3 linked regions of the Drosophila melanogaster genome follow. The protein of the gene in region 2 interacts with the protein of the main gene of each other region in a pairwise test. Each region holds a gene or a part of one and is shown on either strand. Other genes may lie near its edges. The genes, in order: stum, Pdcd4 and CG15646.

Region 1 (5,104 bases), on a different chromosome or scaffold from region 2:
TTGCAAGCGAATAAAATTACCCAACCGCTCCCAGTGAGCAAAGGTGCAGTTTTGAATTATATGAATTTTCATCCATGGGCTTGGCACACTAGATTAGGGTCAGCACTATTCCCGAATTTTGATTAGCCAAGCCCAAAGTCGAGATTAGATTGCTGCGCTCTCTCAACCAGATCAAGTGAATCCGCCAAAGAGTTTGGGCTCGGCTAATCGAAGCCCCTTCAATTGGGGGAATCAGATCTGCATCTGCACACCTGCACTCGTGGACTCCACGCTGTCCACCTGTCTTGAGTCATGGCGCAAAAAAAAAAGAGGTTAGAAACAATAAAAACAACTTGCGGCGCGCCGCCAGTGCCAAGTTTTCATGTCCAAGGCGTATTTATGTCAACCGGAAGTAGGTTTACTGACCCACGTATACCCGTGTGGCTGGCCAAACGTGGACTTCGGCTTTCTTCGGTGGTTTCTTCACCTAAACCCGACTGGTCAGTTGCCGTGGAGCTCCACGGCGCAGGACGATGTATAAGAAGGTATTTGCCCACGGCGGATTAGTTTTTCTACGAACGGCGAGTGCAGTGCATCGGATCGATGCAAATGCGCGTTGAATTTTTTGGGTATTCAGTTTTTTATTTGAAAATCTCTCACCTTTTTTTTTATGACAATAACTCTACAAGTAACGGTGCATTAAAAATTAAAACCAAACTGCCTAAAATCGGATAGAAATCGTCGGATATATCGCAAACATTAAAAACTTCCAACTCGGTTGTGTAGTGAAAAAGCCCAAAACAATTAACTCGTAGATGTCTCTAGGAATTCCCCGACTTGTGACTCCGTGTGACTCCACTGGGGGTTCGAGTTGGACCCCACAAGGGGCGGGTTTTTGGGGGCTAACACGACATTAGCCAAGGATTTCTCCGGCACTGCCACTTAAAAGTCCCCCCGTTCCGAGGGATTCGTGGCTTTGGTTTGGGTGGTCTGTGTTTGCACACATACCTGTCTTTAGGCGTTATTGCTGCCACTGCCGTTGTTGTCTTGATGTTGCAACAGTGCCCGGCTGGCCAAGGAGTTCGTAGCTGCGGGCCAAGTGTTGTTGACTCCTAGCCGCTGCACAAGGCAACGCGGAATTTGTTGCGGTTTTGACCCTATTCCAAAGCCAAGGAAAGTGCAGTGTACTCGCCGAGGGTCTTATACTCACTCAGTCGAGTGCAGGAAAAGCGTCCTTCTGCCGAAGCCTTTTGCAATATTTATGGGCAGAGACACCTTTCACACAGTGATTAAGTGATCCTAATTTTTGGGCGACGCATAACTATTTTTTGACATTCTAGCGGATAAAATATTCAAACACTTAAAATAAGGATATATTTACTTTCAATACTAAATCAATAGGCGTATTTTAAACTGATTTTTTTGAACACAGTAAAGGAAAGTTTTTATTAATACCTATCATTACGTTCAATCAGAGCTCTTATGTGCAATCTCCAACTCCATAAAACTGCATTAAAGTGAAATGAGCGAAAGTGTTCATTGAAATACATGCGTGCATTCAATAGATACAAGTGGCATTAAAGTTATGAGGCATCCCGAAAAGTATGAAAAATTAGCTGACTGAGCTTCTCGGTGGCAGGCAGTGCGGCGTAGAAGTACAAAAGTGTTGGAACATCGCGTGCCACAGACATACCAACAGGTGTCACAGCCAGCCGGGGGAAACTGGGGGAAGCAATCAAAAGTTGTCTAAGAGGCAGAAAGAGCTGAGAAAGAAGCACACGCCGCACAGATGAACACAACGACATGCAAACGGCTAATGCAGCCGCCTCGCTAGGCGGCGAAATGCGGAAAACTCGCGGAAAAGTCGCGGCGAATTGGCGCCCCCGGTCGCCTTTTCTTTTCGGCTTTTCAGTTCGCCAGTCTCGATATCTCAGCGGGTCTGCGTGTGCAAACTGTTGGGGCACCGAGTGTGTGTGTGTGTGGGGGGGGGGGGCATTGTGTGCTGTTTTGGATTTGAAGTGTAGGCAATATTTCTCTTGAAGGCCTCCATTTTGCTCACTTACCGCTGGTCGGCCATCAGTTTAAGTTAGGCAGCGGCCACGTTTCGTCGCGTTTCCATTATTTGTTGCGGCTTTTCAGCAAATACATTCTATTTCCGAATTAGACTAAACTTAAAACCCAAATGTAAATTATATAATGCGCTCCAGGACCAAACTAACACAGTCAGTGTGGACGTGGCAGGTATTAAAATTCGTTATTCAAGTGTGACCGAGCGTTAATGAGATGCAAGAAAACTGCGTGTAATGCGGCAAGCGATTAAAAAACCAATTCGCAAATAGGAAGCTTAAGCCGCCTGGGAGCCGGCCAACTCCCCCAAAACGCGTCATGGCCAAAACAAAACGAAAGGAACGAAAAGGAGCCGGCCAAGTCACTTCCTTTTGGCCCAAAGTGTGTCACCGAAATTCGAGCGGCGGGCCATAAAATGTAGGTTAAATATTAGGCAGAGGAAAATCAATGCGAACAAAGGCCATTCATTCACACCTTTCCTCCACCTTCCCCCCCAAAACCTTCATGGGCTACGTCATTTCGCTAAAATATCTGCGTACCCAGCCGCACAGCTCCAATTAAACCATCGCCTTCTTCTGGTGATAGGATAGTCTCAGCCCGCTGGCTTCCACATCTGCCGGGTCGTTCGACTTCAAGTGCAGTCACTAATGCGGCAATTTGCAACATGCAACGCCGGTGCAGCCAGCCAAGCCGAAGCCATCCGCCCAAAAGCAAATCCCCATCCCCATTCCCCCCATTCAAGCCTTTGAGGCCTCCTCATCAAGTTATGCTCTCGTTAGCGCCAAGACAAGCGTTTGGGAGTTGGGAGTCCGACTCGGATTCGCATATAGCAGCAGGTGCATGGCATACCATAACGATTCCGATTTCAAATCGGTTTGGTTTCGGGGCGGCTTTATCAGCGCCTCGCACGCAGCTATTTATAGTTGAATGTGGAGTGAAATGGCATTAGAAAATAAAGCCGTGCAGTAATAATTACTCTACTATTTTTGCCACAACCAGTGATGGAAGCGGACGTATCCGGGCAGTTGTACCTAATTACTTTTTTTTAATTGCTGATGAATTTAAATTACTTTACTCAAGCTATTAAAAATTTAGGATATTTGAAAAAAGTTACTTGGTATGAAGACAGAAATTACTTTTATTATTATTTTTAAAAATTCGCCCAGGTAAACATACTCAATACCCTTTTCCATCACTGCGAATTGGCAATGAAACCGGCAGCCCTTCAGTTTCGCTCTCCGGTTTTTGGGACTGCCTACTCCGTGCTCCGTGCTCCTCGTTCCGTTATCCGTTCTCCGCCGGTGAAGGCGTCGCGTGTACGTCTCTCTGACATTGCAAGAGGGCCGGAAGGTCTCGCTGGTCGTCTGTCTGTGGAATCAAAAGATGTGCGCACATGGGTGTTGTGAGTGATTTTTAAATACATTCTGTTGCTTCGAATAAACAGCTCCTGGCGTCATTGGTTTTGTGGCACTTAAACTAAAGCGAAGGACGAACGCGGAGTGTCCTGCGTGGAAATCGGCTTCCAACTACTGCAACCACGACTGAATTTCGCAAAAACGCTGCAACAATGGATAGGAAATCATAGTGAATGCATGAGGGCCGAAGATCGGTTAGCACCCATGTCAAGCCATGCAGCAGACCCTCTCGTACTCATCATCATCGCCATCCCCATCCCCGATGCCCATGCCATCAGCCTCAGCCGCACAGACGCCGCCACCGAACCCGAATCTGACACCGAATCTGAACATACGTCCAAGTACGAACCCAATACCACGACCCAGATCCACTGGAGGCGAGTCCGCGTTCCAGCCGGCCATCATCCCGGTTGATTATAGCTATCGCACCCATACCACCCGCTCCATTCTCTCCGCCCAATCGATGGCACCCTCCACGTTCGCCTCCAATCAGAGCTTTGTGCGCCAGCCCTCGGAGTCGGATGCCCAGCCGTATAGTAGCCTCTTTGGGGATCCGGTTCCACCGCCTCTGCAGCCGGATGATTACTTCGGAACAGCAGCATTTGAGACGTTGCGAAATGGGTCTGTGGAACTGCCCAGCTCCGAGGAGGATGCGCTGGTGGCCGCCATGGCGCTGAACGCACTTATTCCTGCGGCCAGGGAACGCATCTTTCCGAGTGTCCCGTACTCGAGGACTCCCCGAGGATCCCTACTGCCTTATCTCCAGCCACCCGACATCCAGATTCTGCCCAACTCGAGCGGTGGCTCCAGTTCAGAGCAACTGGGCTCACCTAACTATCGGCTCCTGGCCCCCGATGACATTCTGAACAAGCCGGACGTTTATGATTTGGAGAACGAGGTCGAGGAGTACACCGTAGTCGGTCAGAGAATGTCTTTCGATGATGAGGAAGATGAGCCGACGAGGACTCCTAGCCAAGCGCCCGCCAAGTTGAGTGTGTCCAGCATCACGACGGAGGACCACAGGGGGTTGGTATTTGAATACACCAATATATTATCCAAACTAATCCTTCGTGATTACCTCCTCTTAGATTACTCAGTGACTCCTATTCGGGAAGGGATTGGTTCCGTCCGGCGCCACAGCACTTTCCAGAGTTCACACGCATCCCACGATTGCGGCCCAGCTCCAAAATGATTATGTCGATGAAGCAGGATGAAGGACCTCTCTCCCCACTGGCCACCATGATCCAGGACATGAACAGCTCGAGCAGCGGCGGAGAGGAGCGAGTGGCACCCAACCAAAGCAGGCCCGTTAGCAGGGACGTTGTACTCTCACCGAAGCAATATCTGGAGGAACAGTTGGGTCTGGAGAGAGGTAGCCAGAGGCAGTCGCTGGAGGACTATAGAATGCCACCTCCACCGGCAGACCCGCCCCCTTTCCGTAGAACTGACTTGACGGAGCAGGATGACAGCCGCAGTGTGGAGCCTGAACATAGCTTAAAGCGGGAAATGTCCCCAGTTATCATCAGGGATTCAATACCTATGGGCGGAGATTATAGGTAAGGTTATCCTGTGGAAAATATCCATAAAGATAATACATATATTCAAGTTTTTCTGTCCCCTCTAGAGTGGAGCAACCTCGTCCA
Region 2 (4,908 bases):
AAAGAGGTAAACAACGTCTATCGCCGGACTATCGGTTATCGATATAGAACACAGTATGGCAGCGCTCCTTAGGGCTGTCAAGTGTTGGAATTATCGCATTTAGTAAATAACATAATAAATTATTTACAAATGAATATATTTCAGAATGCATTTTTATAATTTACACAAGCACTGCAAACAATCGAACGTTTGTATTTTTATATTATTATTTTAAGAAAAAAAAATACTGCAAGCTTCTATTAAAAATACCAAACGCTGTAGGAGATTTGAATAGAATTGTTGTTGCGAAATTCTCTGCTCATTTTGAAAAAAATACTGCAAGCTTCTATTAAAAATACCAAACGCTGTAGGAGATTTGAATAGAATTGTTGTTGCGAAATTCTATGCTCACTTTGAAGTTGACGAAGGGGAAGTTCGCAGAAGGCGAACAAAACTAGTTGTAAAAATGTCTGCGGATCCAAAACTTTATGAATATGTCAATTGTCCCAACTCTAGCTCGCATTTGGTAATGCTGTTTAAAATGCCCTACCATTTGCCGCTTTGTGCCAAGAAATTTCCATCGGACGAATTAGCTCGCTGTCCATATAACAGAACCCATATGTACCCTATTGCCGATATATATGTAGGTTATGAATATATATTATATGTATGTAAGCAAATATTAAATTCAATTGTTTATCCCATTTGCAGGAACATATCATCAAGTGCCCGAGCTACTTACGCGAGGAGAGCCACAGCGACGCAAAAGAAGATGCCAAGGACTGTGATGCCAAGGAAAGTGATGCCAAGGACTGGGATGCCGACCCGCCGGTTTCGACATATGATCCGAATATCCACTGTGAGAAGAACCCTATCATTCGTCGTCTGCACGGAGCTACGCGCTCCTCTCGCCGGGCATTCCGCGAAAAGGAACGCAAGCGATTAATGGATTTGAATACTTTTCCTTAATCTATGAACATACTTACTTACTTACATACATCATATGAATACATACATATACATATACAACATACATACAAATAAACATATTTCATACATTTCGAAAAAGGAGCGTTTTATGTTAGCATAGATCAGCGTTTATTTAAAAATGTATTCAAATTAAAAATTAATAAGAGTTAATTCAAGGAATCTTCAACATATAATTTCATAAATATTCATATGGTAATTAAAATTACAAATAAGAGAGCCACAATTGGCGGCAATTTTGTTTTTTTTTTTTGCTTTCTGCCGCCACTTGGAAATGTACAGCAATTCCTGTTCAATATTTACTTCGTTTTCTTTTGCATCGCTTTCTGCCGCCAATTGGAAATGTGCTGCAATTTGGGTTATGTAGCTGCCCGCCCTGTTCAAAAATTCCTGGAAAATAAGATTTTACTGAATTGAATGTTTTTAAATCTTGATAAAAAGGTAAGATCATTGGGCGAGTATATATATACATCCAGTGAGTGTGTAAATAAAGTAATGTTTCATTGTTTTTACTAAATATGCATATGTTTGCTTGTATGCATTTCTTTCCTTTTTCTTTTAAAAACTACTTCTCTGAGATGCCACTCTGTTGGACCATTCCCAGAAGCCATCAAAATTCAATAAGTTTCGTTTATCTTAGTTTTCCTCATAGGCAGGCTTACTACATAGGATTGAATTTGTATTTACATATATTTGCAAACTTTTTAATAAACTTCCCCGTTTTAAGGGGAAGCTTCGCCAAGTGCGCTTTTATAACCCACCACCTTACCAGAATCGAACAGTCTGGCAGCACGGTCTCGCCGAAAAAGTATAAAAACCCACGTCTCGTCGCTCTCTGGTTCAGTCGAGTTGAGTTTTCACGGCGTGAACAACAGTGTGCGTTATTGGTTCCTTATTCTGCGGTTCTTCAATCCTTTTTGTTCCAATCCTACTGAAAAAGAAATCAAAAGTTCACATCGTTAAGCGGCAAAAACAACAAAAGCGAAGGTGAATAAGGCATAAAAAACAGCACACGCAACTGAATAGTTGTGGGTGTGCGAGTGTGTGTATGCGCGTGTGAAGGAGCCTTTTAGTAAACACTCACACACTTGTGTATTTTTTTTCTGTGAGACACAAGATATTTGAGTGCATTTTTTGCCATTTGCCTTGCCAACCCCTCTCCCCCGCACGCATATAAGAAGAGAAAGAGAGGCAGGGAAAAAATAAAGGAGCCCACGAAGAAAAGCAACAACTATTAAACAGGCTCCTCATCGTATAAAAGCAGCGCAGCCGCCGTCAACGTCAACTGCAGTGGGCCAACGTCGTTGCAGTCGTGTCGTTAGTTTTTGTTCTTGTTGCAGCAGCAGCATCAAAGACAGAAGTAGAGAGAGCGAGCGAAACAGCCGGAGAGACAAAACAAAAAGCACTTAGGTAAGTGGCAAAATAAAAAAAAACGCAGAAACAGCAGCAGCAGCAACAACAACATCGATCTTGACGAAGACCAATTCAAAGAAGCAAGCGAAAAAAACTGCCGGCGAATGCGAATATAAAAGCAAAAACGAAATTACAGTCGCGGTCACAAAATTATGCCATATTAGATGATTTCAATAAAAATAGGTGAAATTTAAGAATTTGTTGATGCGCGTTATTTGCTCCAATTGGAAAACGTTGGTCTACGTGATAAAATCAACCGGCACACACGCACGCACCCGAAAATTCGAGAAAAACTGAAACGAGGAAAGCCGAAACCGAAAAAAAAAACAGCTGCCCACATTGGATGGGGGGTGAATTTGTTTGTTTTTTTTTCTGCCTGCCAAACTTGTTCCTTAGGCTTTTTGATTTTATTTTCGTTGTCTCGAGGTTTATTTGCATTCGGCGCCCCGTCCAATGTTTCCATGTCATCCGATTTTGTTTTCCCATATTATCTACCAGAATTGCTGGCTCACAGTGGTGGTACAATTCACTCTGCATAATTAACGATTATTTAAGTATTTAACAAAATCAGATGCAAATGCAATATGACCTAAAGTATAATATGACTCCAAACCCGAGATGTGTTATTAGAAGGGTTCTGGACGGGGAATTTTGCAAACAATTCCAGGCAAAATACAAAAAAATTTCAATTTTTCTGGTTACTGGATGCCAAACAAATACAGTTCTCAGTTTATAAAAGGCATAACAAAACCATCAAATTTATTCTGTAGTTTCAAAAAGAGTGGGTGACACAAATTGGTTTTTAATTTCTTTTATATCTATTTATGCAATTCATGTGCGCCTAATAGTTCGATCTCTTCTGTTAAAAAAAACAAACAACAGCATTCAATGGTGAGAACGTCTCTGCTTCTTTTTCTTGTTCTTTTTATTGGACATTGCTTATGTATTTTATTTTTTGCGAAATGTTTGCGACGCAATTTCGACAGCGTCACTTTATTTTTATGCTCTTTTCCATCGCTCCTCTTTATCTCTCTCTCCACTTCTTACAAACTCAACCTTTTCCTGATTTCGGGGTTAAAAAATAATTTCGGACACGCATCAATAAAAAGCGCGAAGGTGGAAAAGAGATTCGAAAAAAATGCTGAAAAGCGTTCATTTTGTTATTTCTGTTGTTGTTGTTATCCGAAAAAGGGGGCACAACAAGTGCGAAAGAAGGAGATGAAGAATCAGATGAGAAAGAGACCGGAAGGAGACGGCAATAAAAACATAGAAATTCGTGAGGCGCACAAAATTTTCAAGGTTATACCGGGCAAAACAAACATAAGACCGGTAACAGCATATGTATATGTATGTACATCCATATTACAGAGGGGGAAATACATAAGAATCCGCGTTTAAAGAAGAGGAGAAAGCACAAGCGGCGCAATATAAAAAGCACTCAAAAAACAAAAACAACACATGAAAACACAAAAAAAAAAACAACACATGCGGCTCTTTTTTGCACGTTATCTTTGTTTTCATTTGTATTATGCTGACATCTATATGTACATGGATGAAAGAATTGTATGAGAAGAGTGCCAAATCGACAATTTTACAACCGAAAATTGCGATAATTAATCAGAAAAGTTTATCAAACGAATGTACATAATTTAAATAAATCATATTATGTATTCGTGTTGGTTTGTTTGATTTGATTTTATACATATTTATGTTTGTGCTATATAGCATTTAAATTAAAAGTGCAAAACAGCATAAAAACATTTCAAATAAATAGGGAAAACAAAAGCAGCTGGAAAAGTAAAACATGTGTATGTATGTAGGCACTTATGTACACCAAAAGCAATTACATAGGCATGGAAATACAAGCAACTTTCAATTTAGAGTTAGTGCGAAGGAGACGGCTATATTGCTTGTGGGGGTTGCAAAGCTTTAACGGTAACAAAATTATGTAGTAGCTTTGGTGTTGTTGTTGTTGCGTGACCTTGAATTTCGTCTATAGGGGAGTTTCGATACATGTCCCTATCGCTATCCCTGTCACACCCACGCCCATTGACAAACATTTGCAATTTCCAAGACGCAGTACCGTTATTATATACAGATGCGGTCAAAAAAATGGCGCGAAAGCTGAACATATTATTATGGGTATATCTTAAAAATGAAAACCTAGAAACTTTTTGCAAAATTGTTAGCACTTACAAAAAAAAATCCGTAAAATAGCGACCCCAGTCATTTGTACATAGTATATATTGACTTCTGATCTTGTCATTACAATTACTTTGTATTATTGTGAGCATTAAATTTATGGGCATGCCAAAGAGCTTGTTCTATATTTAGGCAAAAACTATTAGATTTGAATAGCCCGAAAAAGAAACCTAACTGAACTTGGAAAGAAGGGGTTTCTGAGGGGCCATTGTCGGCTACGTGCCAGACATCATGTGTATTTATTTTAGTTCCATGTTTTTCACAGCCGCGACGCGCACAATAAACAAGTAAAACTTTCGCTGACTAACATCCCGTCTTTAAGGCGAG
Region 3 (5,440 bases), 1.9 Mb from region 2:
CGCATAATCTTAATAAAATATGTGCCCATAAATCTAAACTAATGTATATCCTTTTCCTCTCTGTGCAGGATCCCATTCCGCTGGCCATCGTTGGAGAAACGTGCGGCGGCAAGGACATCTAGATAAAGTGAAAAGTGGGTAGGGAAAAGGTAATCTTGAATCACAAGCCGCACACTGATAGCGCCAGGACAGAGCGGCCGAGTTTTGAGGAAATCCGAGGAATCACACATAGGGACCCACAATGCACAATCCTTGGGCCGGACAGCTGTTCGCTCGGGGATTAGCACGGCTAGGCGAGCTCCTCTGCTCCCTCACCTTCTGCTTCTGCTTTCTCTCATTACTTTCGCCGGCGGGGCGCGCAAAATTATTAAAACCTGGCCCTGAATTATGGGCCATAATTTAGAATTTGTATTTGCTCAGAGCTTCCCTCTGGCTCCTTCGTCCTTCGTCCTTCTTCCTTCGATTTCCACTGCTTTCCCTTTTCTTCCGCTTTCCCACTCGATATGCCTGGCGGGCAATGGCAGGGGGTGGGGTTTGGTATTGGTGTGTCTGTGTGTGTTCACAGGACCCAGATCCTTTGATTGATTTGGGATCGCCGTGAAAAGCTGGCATCCATTGACAGGCAGGCACTTCAAGGACCAGAGGCTCTCGGATCGGCTTATTTGCCCAGGATCATGCGAAATGCCATGGAAAAGGATCTGCAGATCAATAGGTGATGCGAAACACAGGGAATAATTGGATCTGGCTAGGGAAGACTATATGGCGTATTGTTTAGACTGATTCTATTGTCAGTGCCTTGAATTTGGTATTTCGCAGCCTTAAATATTAAACATATTCGATTAATTCATAAATGATCAAAGTCGAAAGCATCAAGGATAAGTAATTTTGCATAAGGAAACTGCTTTTAAAGTTCTCATTAAAATATAGTATATATTTTCAGACTTACCGAATCCGCAGGATATAATTCTAAAAGTCACTCCTGACATCTTGCCAAACACTTCCCAAAATCAAATCTCAATCAATTTCGGAACATGTATATCAATCGCACAAATGATGATGGCCCAATGGAAGGTCCCTTGTGGGCCATTAATATTATATATGCCGATCGTTAGCCGGAGCATTTGTCAAGCATTATACGATGGAAATCCAAACTTGACAAATGCCAAGTGAAATGCCATGTGAGATGAATTGGAATGCAAAGCATTCGATTTCAATATCAACCCGATCGCTCCCGCTCCGGGGGGTGGGACGAGTTCAAATTGCCGGGCTAGTGGTGGTGCTACACTAGGTTTTCAAGTTCAGTCCAAGGGAATGTCCTTTCCGAGTCCCGAAATTCCTCAGCAGTCAACAGGGGAGAGAAATCGGGAGAGCGAACGAACGGCAATCTCACCTTCAATATTGAAAGGTGCTGTTGAAAAGGTGGTGGTTCCATTAGTACACTGTCAAAAAAGACTGTAGTTCAATACTTTTAAATGAACTAAAAATATGTAATAATCAACTATGATATATATTTAGGATATATTTCATTTGTATACAAAATTCCTAAATGTTATCTTTATGTGTGCATAAAACAAATTCGTAAATAGTTATCAAAATCTGTTTCAAATAGTTGGGTATCTTCTCATTCAAAAATCTGTAATACATTTAAAATATTTTGTATAGCTGGTCCCAAAGTACAACATATTTGTTTTCAGTGTGCCTCGTGAGACCGGGTTTCAAGCTCTGCGAGGTGAGCACGCAACGTTTGCGTGCGAGGGTAGAATTAGTCACTTTTCGTCTGTTGCAGCGACAGGACGTGTATTTCTCTGCGATCGCGAGCAGGAAATAAATTTCAAAATTTACAATTTTGATTTCCCAACACCCGTCTCGTTACGCCTATTTTCATTTTTTTTTTAAACGTGCAAAGAAAAAATACCACAAAATTTTATATTATTTTTCATTGTGAAACGAAGCAATTTCTGAACTTTGGATACCCCAAAAAAAAAAAAACGAAGAACGCGAAAAATTCCAAAAAAATATATACAAATAAAAAGGTAAAGATAAGTGAAGTGCATGAAATGGAAAACGAAAAGCCAGTGTGCATATTTTCGGGCTAAATGTGCATTAAAAATGCATTAAAGCAGAAGTGTCTGGGGCAGCGGGGTTTAATTAAAAACACCCCATTAAAATCGCCTAAAAACGTATAAATTGTGCGCGTGCGATTTTGGGTTATGTTTTGCTGGGTTTTAGCTCCTGCGTTTTGGTTTTGAGCTTGGGCAATGGGATATGGGCAATGGGCTATGGGTTAATGGGTTTTCGAACTCGGGCCACTTGGCCCAAGTGCTCGAGTGCTCTTCAGACCAAAACGAGAGCGGCGGCTGCAAAATGCGCAAAAATGCTAGCACGCACGTACATATCCCGGAATCGAGTAGATGAGCGAAATCGCTCACTCCTGCGGATCCCCCCTTATCGCCATCACTCCTCGAGTGGCCGGAGATCGACACCACTGGAGGATGGGGCAGAGGAATGGGAGTAGGACGAGGCAACAGAGTGTGCCGGCAGCACCACCATTTTGCCCAAGTTCACACGGCAAAAAATATATATGTTCTCCCAGCCACACTTTTTTTATCACTTGAATCTTCAGTCTCAAAATCATGCAGCTCAACAAATTTACTATTCAAAATGAATAATAATTATATTAGTAACTTTCTTGGCGAACTTAGTTCCCAAAATTTCTATTGATTTGCAAATTTAATGAAATGGTATATTGGACCGCTAATTTCTAATTTGACTATCAAGGGCTTTGCTTAAATATTTTATTTTTATAGTAAAGAATGTTGTAAACATTTTTCATTTCTATTGAAATTTGAATAGCTTATTGCTTTTATAATTTAATCGGGTACTAAATCTGGAACCAATTTTAATATCTTCTTTATTGTAACAAAGCCATTTAGATGCCAAATAATTCCCCAGATTCTGAAATTATTTGAACAATAGTTCAATCAGTTAAAAAATAATATAAATAAAATGTATAGATATTCCGATTTTTGCGCATAAATCCCCAAATTCCTGCCTGATTTTGGGTGATAATTTCTCCCTGTGCCGGCACACCACCCGAGCACACGATACGCGAGGCAGAACCTTGGGCTAAATCGCAGCTGGAGGGCAGTGCGTTGGTATGGCGAACAGGAGCGAACCGGAGGCCCAGAAAATCGCGAAGCTTTAGCGCGCTTTTCCTTTGTTCCCGGGCTCTTTGTGCCGGCTCAATTGTTCGCAAGGATATGCGGAACCAGAAACTCCTTGCGGAAATCGGGAAGCTGGCGTTCAGCTGTGCGAATCCTTGGCGAAATCCCAAGCAGGCCCCTGTGCAAACTCGTTTCGCTACAAGTTAGTCGGGTTTTTGCTCTGTTTTTGCTTTTTTTTTTTGCAATTCCATTCTGCTTGAGAAGCTTTGCAAATAGACAATCGCTAACTAGCCCTATCCTTTTTGCCACTTTTCCAGATATCTTGGCACCGCAGGAGCGACAGACAGCAGCTGCCAGGATGCTCAAGTGGGCTGTCAACCAGCCGCGAAACTCGTATCTGGCCAAGGAGCTGGCCATGGGATCGCAAACAGGATCGGAATCGGGATCGGGATCAGGATCTCTCGAGCAGAAGGCCGAAGTGGTGGGCTCCAGCTACAGCGAGTTCCACGCCCTGCGTGGCAAACTCAAGAGGAAGTCGATCGGAGTGGCGCCAGGCAAGGAGAACCAGCTGACCTCCACGCCGCTGCCGGCCAGCTCCTTGAGCCTCCATGCTCGCACACCACTGCTCAAGGACCTCAGCAACATCCTGGCCACGCCGCCATCGGGAGGAGCAAGTGGCGCTAGTGGGGCAACTGGAGGAGCAGCTGCTGTTCCCCTGAAGTTCGCCTGCACACTGCCCACCTTCGAGGCGGAGTACTCGCCCAATGCCGCCATCATTCCTGGCTCCCTGATCGCCCTGCGCGGCATGGGCATCCCGGACAGCTACTTCGAGAAGCCGCGCTACCTGGAGCAGAAGCCACTACCACATCCGCATCCCCATCCGCATCCAGCTCCTCCGATCGGCGAACAGAATACGCTCAGTTCCAGCCAGATGGGCGATGTGACCCTGGAGCGTATGATCGATGCCATCCTCGAGAGCAACCGCAAGGTGCTGCCCAACGCCAGACAGCAACAGCACCAGCATCAGCACCGCCAGCCCAGGCAGCATCTCCGCCAGCGGCACAGGCTCAGGCAGCAGGTGCTCCGGAGCAGCCACGGACACGGGCACGGGCACGGCTCCACCCAGACGCCATCGCCCACCTACCGCCCCGCCTTCGATCCGGCCAGCGATCTGTGCGAGTACTGGAAGTCGCCCTCGCGGAGGGATTCCCTGCCAGCGGAGGGCTTCGAGGAGCGGGAGGTGCGCTCCCCCGTGCCCACCGAATCCGAATCGCAGGATGCCAAGCGGCATTCCCTGCAGCTGCGCAGGCAGCGGGTGGTGCGGCGCAAGCGAAAGATCACCACCAAGATCTCCTCCAGCGTCAGGCAGTCGGCGCAGAAGCTGCTCGCAGCGGCCAGGTCCGGATCTGCAGTGCCCAGCCAGCGGTTCGCCCAGAAGAGGCGCCACATTAGCCCGGACAGTGGGCACAACTCGACCAGCGATTTTGAGGAGGAGCTGGTGGCCATGGGATCATGCGGCGGGCGGGTGGAGGCGGTTACCAAGCGGCGGCTGAGCTTCTCCTACGCCGAGGATCTGTTCGTGGAGAAGTGACCCAATGCGGGTCATGTCCATATGTTGATTTTTGACTTCTGTTTGGTTATAACCTAAACCTTTTTTTTTTTTTTGAGTGGCTAAAAGCGCAGCATTGCCTTGGAATACGAATGTTGAAACAGATCCTATAATTACCTAAGAATCCTTTTTTTTTCTGACAAATAAAAAACCGATTTGAAAAACTAGTTGAATTGCGAATTTATTATTCCTAATATCCTAAAAAAGGAAAGTTCGATTTGTTACCATTAAATATGAACATTTAATTCTTAAAAGGATGTAAAGATCATTTTGCCGCGTAAACGCAATTGGGTCCTTGTTAGCGTTAGATAAGTACAACCATTAATTAGAGATAAACTGTCTTCTACGTGGGGATTACTTGGCAATATTTCAGAGGCAATATTCTAGAGTTGAAGTTAAACTGGATTCTCACGTTCCGCCCATGAATTCATCACCGTCGACCTTTCATTTCCAACCGGCGAGCTGGCAGGATATGCTGGATAATATGCACTGAGCTAGAGGGTGCGGGAGTAACAGTTGTGGTAGTAAAAATGTTGCGGCATATCCTGCGAGTCCTTTACACGGCACTTATCACGCACCTGTGCACCACCAAATGGCGAACCACCAACAACTACAAACGACAAACGACAGGCTACAAAACGGTGGGCATTTGCATAAATTTGCATAG

The links.
Region 1: the proteins of Pdcd4 (region 2) and stum interact in a two-hybrid assay, tested with the Drosophila melanogaster proteins (one large-scale study listed by BioGRID).
Region 3: the proteins of Pdcd4 (region 2) and CG15646 interact in a two-hybrid assay, tested with the Drosophila melanogaster proteins (one large-scale study listed by BioGRID).

Annotation. Positions count from the first base shown.
Region 1 is NT_033778.4:21,672,840-21,677,943, forward strand, and holds the start of stum (stumble), read left to right. Parts: upstream 1-2,061; 5' UTR 2,062-2,463; intron 2,464-3,234; exon of another isoform or gene 3,235-3,490; 5' UTR 3,491-3,675; coding exon 3,676-4,487; intron 4,488-4,549; coding exon 4,550-5,017; intron 5,018-5,085; coding exon 5,086-5,104.
Region 2 is NC_004354.4:13,752,298-13,757,205, reverse strand, and holds the start of Pdcd4 (programmed cell death 4), read left to right. Parts: upstream 1-1,799; 5' UTR 1,800-1,953; exon of another isoform or gene 1,954-2,376; intron 2,377-4,908. Other genes in the region: CG32625 (uncharacterized protein), read left to right, coding at 446-622, 691-948.
Region 3 is NC_004354.4:15,667,377-15,672,816, reverse strand, and holds CG15646 (uncharacterized protein), read left to right. Parts: upstream 1-1,787; 5' UTR 1,788-2,033; intron 2,034-3,019; exon of another isoform or gene 3,020-3,366; intron 3,367-3,481; 5' UTR 3,482-3,522; coding exon 3,523-4,755; 3' UTR 4,756-4,932; downstream 4,933-5,440.